3 linked regions of the Caenorhabditis elegans genome follow. The protein of the gene in region 3 interacts with the protein of the main gene of each other region in a pairwise test. Each region holds a gene or a part of one and is shown on either strand. Other genes may lie near its edges. The genes, in order: sepa-1, allo-1 and lgg-1.

What was found.
Region 1: the proteins of lgg-1 (region 3) and sepa-1 interact in binary tests that used the Caenorhabditis elegans proteins (3 or more experiments, as listed by UniProt).
Region 2: the proteins of lgg-1 (region 3) and allo-1 interact in a two-hybrid assay, tested with the Caenorhabditis elegans proteins (2 studies listed by BioGRID).

Annotation. Positions count from the first base shown.
Region 1 is NC_003279.8:13,297,030-13,303,594, forward strand, and holds sepa-1 (Protein sepa-1), read right to left. Parts: upstream 3,688-6,565; 5' UTR 3,673-3,687; coding exon 1,992-3,672; intron 1,865-1,991; coding exon 1,493-1,864; intron 1,328-1,492; coding exon 1,272-1,327; 3' UTR 1,175-1,271; downstream 1-1,174. Other genes in the region: T04D3.1 (NTF2 domain-containing protein), read right to left, coding at 5,839-5,942, 6,003-6,565. UniProt on the Caenorhabditis elegans protein: Adapter protein that connects P-granules in somatic cells with the autophagic machinery.
Region 2 is NC_003282.8:10,694,013-10,699,945, forward strand, and holds allo-1 (Allophagy receptor allo-1), read right to left. Parts: upstream 3,061-5,933; 5' UTR 3,057-3,060; coding exon 2,996-3,056; intron 2,782-2,995; coding exon 2,464-2,781; intron 2,408-2,463; coding exon 1,725-2,407; intron 1,570-1,724; coding exon 1,423-1,569; 3' UTR 1,294-1,422; downstream 1-1,293. Other genes in the region: R102.4 (Beta_elim_lyase domain-containing protein), read right to left, coding at 23-120, 304-361; R102.11 (uncharacterized protein), read right to left, coding at 4,449-4,580, 4,632-4,813, 5,491-5,554; R102.6 (MARVEL domain-containing protein), read right to left, coding at 5,887-5,933. UniProt on the Caenorhabditis elegans protein: Autophagy receptor, which is required for allophagy, an autophagic process in which paternal organelles, including mitochondria and membranous organelles, are degraded in early embryos.
Region 3 is NC_003280.10:6,345,473-6,350,215, forward strand, and holds lgg-1 (Protein lgg-1), read right to left. Parts: upstream 2,248-4,743; 5' UTR 2,215-2,247; coding exon 1,927-2,214; intron 1,875-1,926; coding exon 1,791-1,874; 3' UTR 1,488-1,790; downstream 1-1,487. Other genes in the region: C32D5.8 (protein-disulfide reductase), read right to left, coding at 367-439; putative RING finger protein C32D5.10, read right to left, coding at 4,098-4,135, 4,183-4,235, 4,284-4,743. UniProt on the Caenorhabditis elegans protein: Ubiquitin-like modifier involved in the formation of autophagosomal vacuoles (autophagosomes). When lipidated mediates tethering between adjacent membranes and stimulates membrane fusion during autophagy. Recruits lipidated-lgg-2 to maturing autophagosomes.

The sequences.
Region 1 (6,565 bases), on a different chromosome or scaffold from region 3:
AAAAATCTTTAACCTTCACCAACAAACCCAACAAAAAAAATCAAATTTTCTATTCCAATTATTCATCACTAATAATTTATTATTCCTCTTATTTCTCCATTTCAATCAAATATCTCTAAATATCTTGAAATTTCCAAGTTTCTATAGTTATTTGCTCTTCATGTCTAACGTTTTCTTTCTCCCCACTCTTCTAGTACATGTAATCCATTCTATCATCTCAAAAAAAAAGAATCCTAAGATTTTTTTAGAATTACCTTCTTATTTTGCTCCAATTGCTCTAAAATATCGTGTGTAGCCTCCTTTTGGGTATGTTCAGACTGGAAATTAGCTATTTTCAGCCTTAAAATGCCCCAATTTCGTCTTTTTTTCTTCATTACCCACATGATTAGTCCCAAGAATTCTCGTCCCTCTTTCTCTCGCTTTCTTGTTTTTTTCTGTTTTATTTAAAAATCGCATACACATCGACTGATTCAAGAATTTAATTTTGATTTCATGAAAATTATGATAATAAACGTTGCATTTTCAGAAATTGTTTTTTTTTTGGTTGCAGTTTTTGATTTCATAAGTGTGAGAGGGCGAAATGCTGACTTAAAATGCTGACATGACATAAATAAAAAAGTCTGAAATAAAAAACAAAAACGTAAGCCCAATGCGGGGCTCGAACCCGCGACAACCAGATTAAGAGTCTGGTGCTCTACCGACTGAGCTAACCGGGCGCCAATCTCACCCGCTGCAAAGGTTGTATAGAAGCAGACGCACGCAGTGTCAGTTTTATAGTCCCGTACGCGCGCCCACATTTTGTCGGTACACGCGTTAAGTGGCCTTCTCGTCATTTTCTATCAAATTTGGTTTTAACCCAGTTACCAAGGTAATTCGGAGTTTCGATCTTTCGAAAGAGAGTGTCGATTGTGAACAATTTTTGGAATAGCTCTTCCGGGGAATCCGGTCGGGCAATATTTTAAAAGGATTATTATTGTGAAGGTGATTCCGATCAGGGCTGGGATTATTTAAAAAACGAACATGAAAGTTTTTTTTTAAAAGATGAAAAACGAAAAAGTTAGTTTTGCAAATTTACAACTGGAATTACGATTTTTTAGTTACATGTTTCTTCAAGGTTTCATTGTTCCGAAAATGATTCGCCCAACGCCAAATTCGGGTGCAATTAAAAGAAAAATACTTATCAATTTAATATTTATTTGGGATAAAGCACGCATTCATTACAGGATATAAGCAAAAGCAAGAGATATAAAAGAAAATGAATGTGAACTGATTTAGTTTTTCTCGTGATTTTTGGCAAGTTCATCGGAGCTTTGTGTTGGTTGTTGGTCTGAAAATAAATATCGATATTTGAAGCATTAATCTTAAAATTCTTAAAATGGGAATAACAGGAGTTGAGACATTTTTGTCAGTTTAGGCTAGCCTTCAATTATTTCAAATTTTTTTAAAATTATTAAAAGCAAATTATCATATTAAAAAATTAATAGCAACTTACGGTTATGTTCAGTGGCTCGTTGGTCTTTTTTTAAAGTTTTCTTGAGAATCTGGTCAACTGTTAATTGCATCAAACGATAGTATTCATCTCGGTCATTCGATGCTTCCAAAATCTCCGTTTCACATTTTCTGGCATTGGCGATCAACTTTTTAAACAGTTCACCATTCATCTCTTCTACATTCTGGATTCTTGGCCAGAACGCTTTCAACAATTTTCCAACCATGTGATTTCGGATGTCTTCAACGATCCATTCCTTTGATGTGTTTGTCCCGAACAAGAAAGAACCATTGTACCCTTCAAATATATCAATTTTAGGTGTTTCTTCGTTTGAGATTTGATTAGTGTTCTCGGCCAGAGCAGGTGAAGCAGGTGCTGAAAATTTTCAAAGGTTTAGGTGATTTTTGTACTTTCACAGTAAGCCTACAGTACCCCTTAACCTATTTCCAAAAGAAATACGGGTAATAGCTACAGAAATAAAGTTTTTGAAAAGCATACATACCTTCAACTTGAGCAGCTTCTTCCGAAGGCACTGAGCTTGAGACGACTTGTTTCTTTCCGGCTCTTTCCATTCTTCGTTTCTCCAACTCGTCAATTTGAGCATTAATTTTGTTCAGCCGACTCTTGAGCTCTCTCCGCTTTTTCTTCTTGTCCATTGCTGCAACATCCGGCTCATAGGTGACATTCTTCACAGGCTCTGGTTCGTTGGCGTCCTGATGCTTCGATTCTGCTTCTTTTTCCAATAAGCCCTCAGACATCGTATCGTCCAATTCCTGATACCCATATGTATTTCCACCTTCAGAAGCAGCTGTAGTCGGCTCTTCGGGATCCTTCGCAATTTGGAGCTTCTCGAGATTCTTCACTATATTCTCTTCCGTCTCAGCTGATTCCACTCTAGGCGCCTTTCTGGGAATCTCTTGATCCTGTGTCAATCCAAGTTCCTTTCTCAAGTCACAATTAAAAGATTCAACCATCGCTAACACGGTTTCCATTATATCTTCGCCCTCCGTCTGAACTGGATGTTGTGGCTCGACTCGCTCCGTGCTAGCCTTCTTCTTTTCGAATTCAGTTTTCATCTCAACCCATTGAACTTGGAATGTTTTCACCGCAACTGGCTGCATCTTCTCGAAGCCTCCACTTCCAGATGTTTCTTTCTGAAGTCTTCCATCACGACCTCTCATGATCATATACACCTTGCGATTGTCTATATTTTCCGCCATAAACAAGTTCAGCCCACTGGTGATCTTTTTCGGATCATAAACTAGATTGCGTTTAACTTGAACGAATCCAAATGTACGGACATCATAGATGTACTGCTCGATTTGATTATTCTCGGTGTTATGAACATGAATCACCAATTCGGATGCATTACGCTCCACATACAATGGAATAAGGTTCGATTCGGTGACTTCACATGTGCAAAGAGTGCAGGAAATCTTCTGGAAGTCGCCTGTTTCGTCAATGTACTCGAGTCTTGTGTAATCCCCGCTAGTCTTTGAATAGACGCATAGAAATTCTTTGTTCAAATGCAGACATTGACGAACTTGGAATCGTGGGAGATTCTTCTGATACTCTGCGTAGAGTCTATCAAAGCTCTCATTACCTGATGAAATCTTGACTTCATCAGAATTCGCGGCTCTATCCCACCTATCACGTTCCAGATCTTGAAGCGTCAGAGTCCTTAAAGCAGCTGTTGGAAGAGTTCGGAACTGTCCATAACTTGTAGATTCCTTACTGAGAAGACCACGGCAATCTCTTTCAATCACGACCAGCTCGCCTTCAGGACCATTTAGAGCAACCACAACGTTTCCTTTAACAAGAAACGCCGGATTGTACTTAATCTCGGGACGATTCACTTCAACAAAGCAATCCGTCTTGAAAGCGTAGATAAACTGCTCCATCTTCCCGGTCATTGTATTATACCCGAAGAGCACGAAATCTTCGAGTAGGTCACTGTAGACAGCGTAGTACGGAGAAATGTGCTTCTCGGTGAGAATTGGTTGGCATATGAGGCATTTGTGAGGGATCAAATCACCAGCATCCGTTTTCTCATAGCAAAAGCGTTGTCTGTTTGGGCGAAGAACACTGACCACGTGGATAGCAGTGGCAGGGCACTTTCCGAGTGCAAACTTCGGTGGAGGTGAAGGCGCTGGATTGGAGGTAAGAGCAGAAAGAGGTGTCATCTTGGAGATTTTTCTGGAATTAAGGTGTAGTTAGATTAAGAATAATTGAAAACGTATACAAATGCAATAAAAAAGTGATAAGTGAAATTACCAGGCGCGATTAAAAATAGGAGTTTAAAGGAAATTTAGAAGTATAAGAACCACTGCAAAAAATCAAAAATGAAAAAGTAGTGAGCAAAAAGTGTTGTAGGAGTTAATACAAAACGACGAGTGCAACAGGACATATAAACGTATCAAGTAAAGTTTATCGATTGGTAAATGCTCCCGCCAACTCCGCGTACAGAACACCTGGGAATAAGCAATCAATACAGATTGTTGTATAATACTAGGCGGGAAGATGCACAAATTTTGTGGGCTAGAATTTAGGTAAGGCTACTGCTAGGGCTGAAAATTAAATAAAATGAATCGAAAATATGAATCTCGTAAATCCACAAGTGCGGTACGGTTTTTATGGGCGATGCCTTTTCTGACGAAAATTTCGGCGTTAAATAGGATTTTGGGATTTTAATAAATTAATATAAAATCACGGAAATTTTTTATATTTTTTTCACATCGATATTTGGTATCAGGGGCATAAATAGCGTCTTTAGTCCTCCTTTGTGTTAAAATCAAGTTTTGAATAAAACCATCAAAGTACAACTGATATTTTTTGTCCAATTTTTGGTAAAACCACAAGTAACTACAAGATACACTTTTAGAAAAGGGAACTACGGACATATCAATTTCAAGAATACATCATATTTGAAAAAGGCAAAAAGGAAACAAATACTGTAGTTCATAGCCGAGAACAAAAAAATGGAAACAGGAGCTCTAGAGACTGACTAGAGAAAAGAAAAACGACCTACTAGAGGCGATGCAGGCAGACTGAATGATGTCTTCTGCTCTTCAAGACAACTCAGAGCATCTGGAGCAAACGCTGCAACCAATTTAAATCGATACTCAGCTCTTGGGATACCAGATTCGGGAAAGAGGTGGGAATTGGCAGATGTTTTTATCGACTGATGTAAGATTGAGACGACTACCAGGAGAAGATCTACAAACGAATGTAGTATATTGATGGTTTTTAACAAAATTTCTGGGAACTGATTTTACAGATATGGTAAATCTCAACATGTTACGGCTGCTGATCTAATAGAAAGAATTATCGGCAATCTGAACAGAAAAGTATCCAAGATATGGGCGGAGCATGAACTGAATATGGCACCGCCCATATCTTGGCTACATGTACTTCTCACATTTCTTCATAAATTTCTCCTATACTCCCATTATTAAGACAAAGCAAGGTCAGCTTAAATTCCCAGACACTGAGCAAGGACGCGATCCACCTGAGAGTAATTCGACCAGGGGTGGACGGCAAATGATTTTTTGCCGGAATTTGCAAATTGGCGGAAATGAAAATTTCCGGCAAATCGGCAAATTGCCGGAATTGAAAAGTTCCGGCAAATCAGCAAACCGGCAAATTGACGCTTTGCCAAATTTGCCAGAAAAACGGGCAAATTGTGGTTTTGCACATTTTTTTTGGAAATTTCAGAATTTCGATTTCACTCAGCAGACTTTTACGCATCCTATGAATGTTCCTACATCTATTTTTAAAAATAAGCAAACTCTATGAATATATCTAAAGAAAACGGAATAAAATTTCAAAAAGGCACAGTTTTAAGTGCTTCTGTCATATAAAAAGCCCCTCTAAACACTTCCGGCAATTGGCAAACCGGCAAACCTCCGGAATTGAAAACTTCCGGCAAATCGGTAAACCGGCAAATTGCCGGAATTCAAAACTTCCGGCAAATCGGCATCTTGCCGCTTTGCCGAGTTTGTCGACAAAAAAATTTGCCGAACGGCAATTGCCGCCCACCCTTGAATTGGACTACAAATGTGGACAGAAGATTCATAGAATCAGAGAAAATTACATCCATTTGCCGGATTTCTTTTGGAAACGTGCCCCATTTTAATTTGCCTCAAAGAGAACCTGGCAATCCCATTCTAAAAGACTATGACGTCAAGCAAGATTTTCAGCAATGATTTTTTTCCCGCCGTTTCTAAAGGCACACAAATTTACAGTTGTCTTTTATTTATGGAACATCGGGAAGAAAAATGAGACCGCAAGACAAAATAAAATAAAAAAATATGCAATTTAACAAAAAAAACTAATTTTAATCCAAATCCTCAAATCTGTTCCAATTCCTTCTGAACATATGGTGGCAACGATCCGCCGTAGAGAGTTGTCAGGCTTTCCACGAATTTTTGTTTGAGAATTGACATGCCATCGTCTGAAATGAGTATATTTTTAGAAAAATGAATAATAGTATGGATTAAGTGTTAAGGGTTACCTGGGGCATCCTCCGGAATATCTGGAGAAGTTGAGCAAGATGGGCCATCAGAAAACGGATCATCACAAAGACGGATCTTCTCGACCAAGACATCCAACTCTTGAGATTCTTTGGATGCCTTCTTCTTGGACTTCTTGATCTTTTTGGCCTTCTTCTTCTTGTCCATCTTCTGCTTCTTCTCCATAAACTGAGTATCAAAACTCTTGATCACCGAATTGGGAACCTCCACGAAATGTTTTTTGATCGAGCAATATACCTCCTTCTTCAGTCTTCCTTGTGCACCCCTCATGATCACTGTTGTCCCTTTGAGAACGAAGAAGATGCTCGAAGTCGGATCCTGATCCTTCGATGAGTCATACTTCAGCTCTGGCTGATTCACTTCAACAAATCCCTGAATCTTCGAGTCGAAGACATATTGCTCCATGCGATCTGTGAAGGAGTTGAAGACGTGAATCACATAAGCCTGAATCTCTTCGCAAAACTCTGCATACTTGGGGAGAAGATCCACTTCTCTGGTTGTATCCGGACACTTCTCACAGTCGAGGATCTCGAATTGACTGGTG
Region 2 (5,933 bases), on a different chromosome or scaffold from region 3:
TTTTATTTAAAAAGTTTGATACCGTATCAAGAAGATCTGTGGAAGCAGATATTCCATTTCCATTTGAATTTCCATTAACTTTAGTCATTGCTCCTCTAATTGAAAAGTTTCGAATGCAAACTGAAATTATTTCTTACAATTCGATTTTTTAATCAATTTCTCGAATGAAATATACAACTTCTTTCTTAAGTAATAGAAAAAAAATAATGATATAGAAGTTATCAATATGTTTTTGAAGGTTTAGATGATATTTGGAGAAAGGAAGTACGTAGAAAAGCGGAGGACTATATACAAAATGCTAACTTTTGATCTTGGTTTGCAAGTTGAGTGCTGTTAATACAGTGAAGTGTCTAGATATCATCAGTAGGCAGAAATCATGACAATCGTTTCAATAGTGTCGATGAAATTATGTAATTGAAATACCGATATGAAAATGAGAGCATGATAACACAGATCAAACATTGTAATTGTAGTCAAGGGTGTCAGTGTCCCGTAACAATGACAAAAACGGGACAGCGGGAATTCTCGTTCCCGTGAAAATTTTAAAAACGGGACAATGGGAATTCCCGTTCCCGTGGAAACACCCCAAAATCGGGACAACGGGACAAACGGGACACGGGAATTGACAACCTTGATTGTAGTTTTTATTATTTTTAACCTTGATCATTTGTAAAAACTTCCATATTAGCCAGACGCAAAATTTCGCAATTTTCGCGCTAAAAACATTTCCCGGTCTCGACGCGAAAAAGTTTTGTAAACTAAAAAATTGTGCGCGCCTTTAAAGAGTACTGTATTTATAAAACTTTTGTTGGTGCGAAAATTTCTCCGAATTGTTTCGTTCAAAATGCATTTATTTATTTGAAAAAAAAACTAAAACTAAACAATTAACAATACATACAATATAACAAGTCGCAATAACAACTCTGAAAAATCGATTAAAATTAAAAAATTCCACAGCATCGGAAGTTTGAAATTACAGTACACTTTAAAGGTGCACCCCCGTTTGCTTTTAACAAAAAAATGTCGTGTCGATACAGAGTACCGTATTTTTGGCGCAAAAATAGATCGATTATCTCTCAGTTAAATTTCATTATGAATTTTCTCGAATCGTTAGATCTTGAATATATGTACGTTTGTATCGTTATTGTTTTCACTCACCATTTCCTAATACTATAACCCGTCGTGTGAGCAAAGAGTACATCTTTTACAAAAACCTGCAATTATTAAATTATTTTTTTCATTTCAATTTACCAATAAACTACCGACTAAATTCGAGTAATTGCTGAGAAATGATTAGAATTTTTTCTACATCATAATTTTTATTGACACGGGTTTTGCAAGATAATATACAAAATAGAACAAATCATGAAAACAAGAATTTAAAAGTATTGAATGTACACAATGTGGCGTGATAAATGAGAATTATTGGTGGGAGATAAAATGAACAATTTGACGGCTTAGCTCGAGAAGTCTTCCAGCACTCCAAGTTGACGACATTTCTGCTTCAGACTGTTGATCACCTGCTCGTTCGAAGCGAGCATGCGGGTGCTCTCCTGTTGGTCCTGCAAGCTGGTATTTTTTGCAAAAAATTGTTAAATGAAATCTTATGTTTGTCGTTGAAAAACAACGTTGTTTTAGCACTAAATTAAAAATTTAAGATAGCAATGACCGCTTGAACGGTTTCTATGGTTAACTAATTTAAAAAAAAGTTATCAAAACCGCACCTCATGCAGAGCACTAACTATCTCATCCTTGTTGCTCGACTCTTCTACAGATTTCTTCAGTGCTTCTTTAGTTTCCTCCAATTCTTTTCTCAGAGTGATAAGCTCATGTTCCAGATTCAATGAATATGTGGTTCTTTCCGCCAACTGCGATGCAACAAAAGAGGCTGGTGGATCAAAGACAGAGCCTCCTCTTGCATGTTTCAACTGATCCTCCGCCAGCTTGCGACGCTCAGATTCTTCGAGCCGGCGAGCAACCTCTTCATCAACCAGATTTCTCAATTTCGAGTTCTCCTCCAAAAGTCTATCAATAGTAGTCTTCGAGTCACTGTACTGAGCGTTGCTGTTTTTCTCGGCTCCCTGCTTCCACAGCTCGGCCACCTGTTGGCTCTGAGCCAATTGCACTTTGAGCTGCTCGATAGCCGAGTCTTTCTCCTGGATAACTTTCTCTACGCTAGCAGCTGATTCTTGCATCTTCAATTCGAACTCGTTCTTCATAACTTCCATTTTCTCAGATAGTTTCTTGTTTTCTTCAATTTCATGGTTTGAATTTGATTTCAGAAGAGTGGATTCAGACATTTTTGCAGCTTGAAGTTGAGATTTCAGCTCGCTCACAAGAAGAAGTGATGTTCTCAAAGCGATTTCTGTTGATTCAACGTCCGCCACGTTCACAAGAGAGGAATTATCTGGAATTTACTTGGTCAAATAAATAATTTATGATAAGTTTTGGTTTAAAACTAACTGGAACATTCAGACTCGGACACAATAGACATATTCTGAAGAGTGAATTCAGGAGATTGACTCGAATTGACAAGAGACGCGAGAGGAGTTGACATTGGAGTACGATCTTCCTTCAAAGTTTCGGTAAGGAGCGGTGTTTCAACGATTGATGCTTCAGGTGTACGATCTGGATCTTCGTCTTTCAACGACTCCGGGGCCTTCGATCCGACAGGAGATGGAGCGCGCTGTGATTGAAGTGTATTCGGCATCTGGATTGAAATTGGCTCGATTCGGATACTCTGCTGAATACTCCATTGATCCTCACGATCTTCTGTTTCAGCTGGAATTTTTTTTTGAATTTTTAAAAATCCTCGATTGTGAAATAACAAATAAATCGATTTCAGAAAGTTGACCCATAATTTCAAAAAATGCGAAGAAATTTCGAAATCATGATGCAAACAATTTATTTCTAGACAAAAGTTATATTTTCTCATTGGGTTAGCTTGGGAGCTTGAATTTTTAGGTCCTTTTTTTAAAATAAAATAAAAACTTACGGTCAAAAGTCTCGATTATCTCGAATTCGTCATTCGAGAGGGAGTCAAGCGGATCGTTCATTCTCTGAAAAATATTACTTAGTGAGTGATAATAACAAAATCTCGAGTTGAAAAATGAGAAAAATATATGAGAAGAGTGAGGTCGTATGATCGAGAATGCAAACACTAAGCACTGGTTACTGCTAGCAATATATAAAGGAGAGTAAAATCATTGAGAGAGTTAGAGTGTGATTTCGAAACATTCTAGGTCGTCTGTCTTCTACGTCTCAGTGTAAAAACGACTCGAGGAATCATGTGTTTGCCAGAGAATGAATCAGCAGCTCTTGGAGACGCAGGCATAAAATGTTCGAATTGGAAAACAGCTGATGCGGGTCGCAGTGACCAGTGGGAAATGTCGTTTTTGAAGGTCGTTAGGAATTTTTTGATATTTTCCAGAGTCGACTTGTTAAGAAAAAACTATATTGCTAATAGATGGATAGGAATGCAATTAAAATTGTTGGGAAATCATGCGTTCAGAAGAAGCGAAGAAATTATAACATTTTCCAACAAATTTTCAGATTTGTGTCGGCGTTTCGTTAAAAATTCAATTTTCATTTCTACAATTGTAAATTCTGTCAATCAATTTGACTTGAAAAAACGAAAAAATGAAGCAAAAATAAGGAATAGGAAGAAATGCAGCCTGTAACACAAAAAATGGCGAAATGAGCGCTCTCGTCTGGTTGTTTTGAGGAAGACGAGACACTGGAGGAATTGAAGAGACGCAGGCAGGCAGACAAAATTCGTTTTTCGCGGTTTTTCAAATTTGACCGTTTTCGGTGCGTTTTTCTCCATTAATATCAATAATTGGTTAGGAATTTTTATTTTTTTTTTTTAAATATAGCTTTAAAAAAAAGATTTCTGAAATTCTAAATACCCTTTTCCAATCGATTCCGAAAAATGAAGAATTTATTGTAGCTGAGATTTTAAAGGGTACACTAAATATTGATGACTAATGTCGCAGTTTTCTGAAACTTCAATGCGGATTGAAATTCGTCACGAGAAAATATTTATTATGATTCCCGGTAAATTGGAAAAAAAAAACATAAACTTTGTCTTGAGGCGAGATCCAAATCTCGGTGCGTCTTTAGGTACGCATTTTTTAAACTTGTGAAACACTGTGCAAAATATTGAAATAGACCACCATTAACTACATATACAGCTGCATTCCTCTTTGAAAGCGCAAGCCCCAGTTCAACATTTTATTTGTCGTTTCAGGACCTCAGAATCCACAAGGCTCATATTTTACAGAACACTCGTTATAAGCATTTTATTTGAAAATTATTACAGAATCCACGTCGTACTAGATTCTAGGAACTTCATTCTGTAACTTTTGAATGTTTAACATTTTATTTTTGTACTATTTGTGTTATGACTGAAAGAAAAGATGTTATATAAGCAAAAACCATTGTACATATCAATGTATCGTCTGATTGTTGATCGCACGTCTTCTTCGACCACACCCACCACCGTAACCGCCACCGTATCCACCACCACACCCTCCGCATCCACCACTGCATCGAGGAACGTATTGAGGAACCATACAGGGCTGAAAAGATATAACAACAATGAAATTAGGCAAATTTTACAGTAAAATTACCTGATACATGGTTACCGGTGGCGGGCACGAGCAGGCAGGCGGAGGAGGTGGACACGGGATTGGCATCGGGCACGGTGGAGGTGGAGGTGGCATACATACTGGAGAAGGGGGAGGTGGTAGGCAGGAGCATCCCATGTTACATCCACCACAGGAACTTCCACATCCGCATCCGCCACCGCCTCCTGAATAGTATGAGATAAGTAAAGGAAAAAGTGTTGGAAAATTTCTAGTCCGTTAAAATAAATTACAGGCTTCTGGGAATTAATTGTTTGTTCCTACATCTTACATACGTCATATATCATAAAGAACTTTATTTTGCTAATAATAAAAATTGAGGTACAAGAAAATGTATCTGTTACTTAAAATCGTTGTTTCCTTTCGAGTGTTGCCTAACTTTTGTTTTTAGCAAGTAAATATTTTTGTTCCAAAATTGGGCAATATGTTGCCACCCGATGTCAAGGTTTTCGTGTAAATTTTAAGAAACATATTGAGATGTCGACAAGATTGTCTCTGGTATCCATTTCTCATGAAACTCACGTAATTGTCTGATGTCTTATCAAAATCTTATCAATGTTCTAAAAATCATCAGAAATCGTTACCGAACAAAATTTTGTGATTTTGCACGGTAATAAGATCAAAGTTTATGTCTATATTATGTTTAAAAAGATACCGCGATTAATTTTTTTTTCCAACCTTCATTTCCTGCCAACATCGAGAACGATTGCGGTTTCTAATCATGATAAAGGATATTAGTCGTTTTTTTCGAACCAATTAGTAAAAAATAAAGTCAAGCTTACTTCATATGTATTTCATTAATAACTCCACATAATAATTGGAATTTCAAATAGTTCAAACTTACCGAAACCAAACAAAAAATTGTCTACGAAGATGGGAAAAGTGAATAGTAAAAAGATCAGATTCATATTTCTGAAAAGATGAAAAATGAAGTAGAATAGTAGTAAATATAGAAAACAAAACGGTTTAAGTATGACTAGAAGCAGTGTCGAGCGGATTAGTTGAACGTCTCGGAGGATCCGGTGTCCGAGTGTGACAATTGCCTGGAGCGCCACCAATTTTCTTTTTATTTCGCATCTCTTCGTTTAGGATTTCGGATTTCGGATTTCAAATTAATCGCGGTCGGAAGTAGTTGCTTTACAGTTTTTGGAAGAAAGCTGCTAAGGAATGAGAGATCATGAAGTATGAGGTAGTATTTGGTTTTTGAGGACAAAAGTACAAGGAATCATTTGAGGATCTGTTATACGAGCTCTTCATTTGCTTTCACTTCAGCGCGGATTATTTCGT
Region 3 (4,743 bases):
ATTTTTGATCGCAAATACTTTTTTCATGGAATGAACAGGTTACTACGAAATGCTCCGAATATCTTCTGATTGTGTGATCTATATAAGAAACATTAGTGAGCATATAAAAACGGTATCTTAGTTATTGAAAAATTTACTTGAATGCTAAACTGGGCTTATACTTTCGACTGACTTTCATCGTACACTATGGAATTGATATCTAAAAAATAAGATGACGTGGTGGTTGGTTAACCAACCATGTTAACCAACCAACCATGTACAACTAATCAAAAAGTAAACGTATAATACCCGATCGCAACGAAACAACTTTCGTGTTTATCAGGTCACCTGCTGAGAAACTTGCCAAATTTTTCAGTGTTTCACTACCTTTTGGGTCGACCGACATCTGCGCGGCACTCGTTGCTGGTTGTTTCGAATTCGAATTCGCCGTGTTCCCCATCACAGTCAAGTAATGATGGGGAAACCGATGAGATAACGAATACACCGTTCAAAAGGTAAAGGTCACGTTTTCGATCGAATTTTGCGATCAAATTGAAAAAAATAAGAAGAAGAAGAGATGGCAGAACATACACGTGATGAATTCAAAAAGGCAGAAAAATAGAAAAAAAAAGAGTATAAACACCACTTTATGAATAAAGCCATGCCAGTTTCTAATAGCAACGAAGGGAAAACAACGAGAAAATGGATAGAGGAAAAAGGGAAAAGGAGAAGGTGTAATTATAGAATCGATTTGACTGGGAAGCAGCGGCGACTCGTAGATTTACAATAGTAAGATGTAGAGAAACGAGACTCTTTTTTTAATCTCAAAAATATGTATTTAATTATACATCTTGAAAATTTTGCAGATTTTTTTAGAGTTAGCCTACAGTACTCGGTCTCGAAACGGCCAAAACTATTTAAATACCGTATCCGCAAGTATTTGTTTTTAATTTTTCATGATCTCCTACAATTTTCCAAAAATGTATCGGTTTTTCCTTTAAAAATGTGGAATTTTAAGTGAAACTATTACAACAGATACAGGTGAAAATTGCGAAACACTTTTGGGTGCGGTAGCTGAAAAGTTTCCATCGTGCCGAGACCGGCTACCGTATTTTCGCATTGAAAATCTCAAACTTCTGCAAATGGGTAGTACCAAAATTGTGTCTCGAAAATGATAAAATATGCCAGAATCGAATCAAAAATGATTCCTAAGTCAACGTTTGAGCCCTCTTATGACATTTTCAGACGATGACAACTAGAATAAACTGTCATTTGACAGATGACTAATGGATACAAAGAGCCTTTTTGCCAAAAGTGTGTCACCATTTTCGAAATAAAATTCTCATTTTTCTCTATACTTTGTTCAGAAATCTACAATGATGTTTACGTAATACAAATGTGACGTCAATTCTATACAGATGAAAAAGTGATTTCGCAATGTGTATTGCTAACTGTTGGAGGTATTCCATTCGCTGGCCGAAAATAACGATGAGCATGAACATGAATTTGTTTGTGTCTTCTTCGTTTATTCATGAATCAAAAATTTGAAAGTAATAGCAAAAAAATATCAAAATCCGAGAGAAAACATGATTTTCTGGGAGGGGAGAAGAGCAACTTCGTAGACAATAGTTTGAATAGAAGTCACTACTCGGAACCGTCATACGAGAAAAATGAGAAGAAAATGTGAAGGAAATACAGAATTATTACAGAAAATGAGAAGATTTTTTTAAAGGGGCTTTGGGTTTCCATTAGAAGTATGAAATTTCCATTGTACAAGTATACACATTCGTCGGCGGATAATACATGACACTTTATTCCTTCTTTTCGACCTCTCCTCCATACACACTTTCGTCACTGTAGGCGATGTAAAGGAACAAGTCTTCCTCGTGATGGTCCTGTAATAAAGAAAAGGGTTAATTAAATGAAAATAAACGACTGGTTAGTTACCTGGTAGAGTTGTCCCATTGTGGTCATGGTTTGTGGAATGACATTGTTGACAAAGAAGAACAGAGCATCTTCTGGACGAAGTTGGATGCGTTTTCTGATGAGGAAGTAGAACTGTCCAACAGTAAGATCGGATGGGACCAAGTACTTCTTCTTATCCAAGTCATGGAGCTTTGACTTTGGTGCTTTCTCAACAATCACTGGAATACGGTCTGGGTACTTTCTGCGGATCTTGTCTCCTTCGGCACGACGCTTCTCAAAGTTGTTCTCCTCCTTGTAAGCCCACTTCATTTTGATTCGAAGGTTAGTGTGAAGAGAAGGTTACTGGAATAAAAATACTTTAAATCACAGAAAAATCATAAAAGAACCATGAGAGAAGAAAGGTGTAACAAGTGAGAGTGAATGAAGGTGACATCACATGGGTTTTGAGAGATTGACCGATTCGATAACACATTGCGAAATCTATATAAAATTGACGACGAGTACTAGTAAGGCAAAAAGAGCATGAGCAAGAATGGCCCGTGTGCAAGTGAGAGAGGGAGTGTGCGCGCACATCGGTCATATGAGAGCGCGTAGACGCAGGAGACATCCTATTGATTTTCTATGTTTGTCTGGCCTGGTTTTGTTGAGATGCAGAGAAACAGGACAAGTACAATGCAGCTGTTTAGAGGTTGTCGGGGAAACTGTAATTCTGGGAAGACTGAAAGTCGATCGATATATTAGTAACATTTATCCAATATTCACTAGTATCCATAACCAGTTTCTACGAATATTCTTAGCGCATTGTTCCAAAAAATTGAATTCTGAAAGACTTTAGTAATCAACTATTAACTAGATTAATATGACCGTTCAATAAATAATTTTGGTATGATTTAGCAATATTTTTAGATAGAATTGTTAAACCGTACATTTAATAGTCAAACTTGTGAAACATTTCTTAATTTCAAATTTCAAATCTAAAAAAGATTTTGATTTGAAACCGGTTTTTTAAACAAACCAACTAAAATTACAAACTTTTAAATAAAAAAGTACTGTCGCTACCGACGTCGCCAGAAAGTGAAAGAAATGGCAGAAAGTCGCAAAGAAGAGCGAGAGGCAAGACTGAACACACCAAGACGAATGGCACTAGCTAGAAAGAGAGAGAGATGAGAGAGGGGCGGAGACGACGAGACACCACGACTCAACATCATGTGACTGTGTCATACGGCGGCGAAACGAGACAGCAGGCAGAGGAGAGCAAGAGAGTATAGGGAAACATTGGATGGTTTGAGAGAAGTAGAGCAGCATGGTGTAGAATCATCGGGGTTTCAGGTGCCGATCGACAGATTGTTTGTTCTTAGATTCTTTTGATAGGAAATTTTAAACGTTAGAAATGATCAAAAGTGATAAAAGGTTAGAATAACAACTAGACAACAGTTGGTATTGAGTATGTTTTGCTATTAAAGGAACATAATATGCTAAAACTAAACGAAATAAACGATATATAACTACTATATCCATACAATAATATGTAGGTGGAAAGTGCATTAGCGACATAATTCTAAAATAAAGAGTTGGAGCAATGAGAGCATCATCCACATTCACAGCTGTCACCGTGACGTAGAATGTAATGAACTAGAAGAGGGCATTCAAGACCAGCTGGTAAAACGCTAGAACTGACAATATAAAACAAATCAATTAAAAGATCTTAAAGACATTAGGGTGCACTCCATGTAATCGATCAGAAAGGCAAAAATATAAAAAGGAACAAGATAAAAATTTGCCGGAAGCAAACCGAGAAAAAATATTAAAAAAATAACCAAACAATAAACCAAAGGTTAAAAATTTATAGACAGTCAATAGTGACGAAATGTTTTACACGGACAGAAGTACAATAATCAGAATAAAGCTATAAATATAAATAAATAAAAAATGATAGCTAACATGGAGAAACAATAAAAATATGAAAAACGCTTTTTTCTTTGAACCGTAAACAACGAAAATCTAAAAATTGCCGAATAAGTTCGCTTGTAGCCCAGGATGGAACATTTGGAAACTTGCTACTACGAAACATCGAAATGTCAGAAAAAATAAAAGTAAAAAAGTTGTAAAAAATTATGATATGCCTAGGAAAAAGTTTGAAAACTCGTCGATATCCGCCTTTTTAATTGATTTAACAGAGATCAAATGTCGATTTACTGTCGCCTTGAAAGTGCACCAGTTCGAGAGAGATCTGTAAAAATTAGTTATGAGACTTGATCTGCAATATGACAAACTTACAACTTGCTAGCTGTAACATATCATCAGGTTTGAACTTCGAAATGTCTGGAGCACTGAAATTGGAATATTACATATCCACGATAAAATCTTTTCAAACCCACCTTGAAGTGCTTGGCATTGGTTTGTTAATCCTGATAATGGCTTCTTGTGCTGCGCCGACAAGCATATTCATTGATTGTGTTAACGGCATATTGTACTTCGCGATCAATTCCTGAACATCGTCAACAAGCCCCTCAGGTAACTGGCTGGTTTTGGCCTTTTTCCAATGATCTTCTAATGGAAATTCGTACTTTCTCTTCCTGTCGGCACTACCATTTGCTACAGGTTTAGGAAGTGATCGATTCGAATCATCAAGAATAATAGTATCATCACGTTCAACAACTTGAATCTCTTCATCGCTATCTTCCTCACTATTTGAATACGTTCTTGGCTCATCACTGTCTTCTCTGTCATCATCATCCACATCGACACCATCATTATCATCATCATCGTCAATTTCTACTACACTGTCGGATCCACGACTTCGAGCAGAACCAGCACCTGCTGAAGATGTCGTTAATT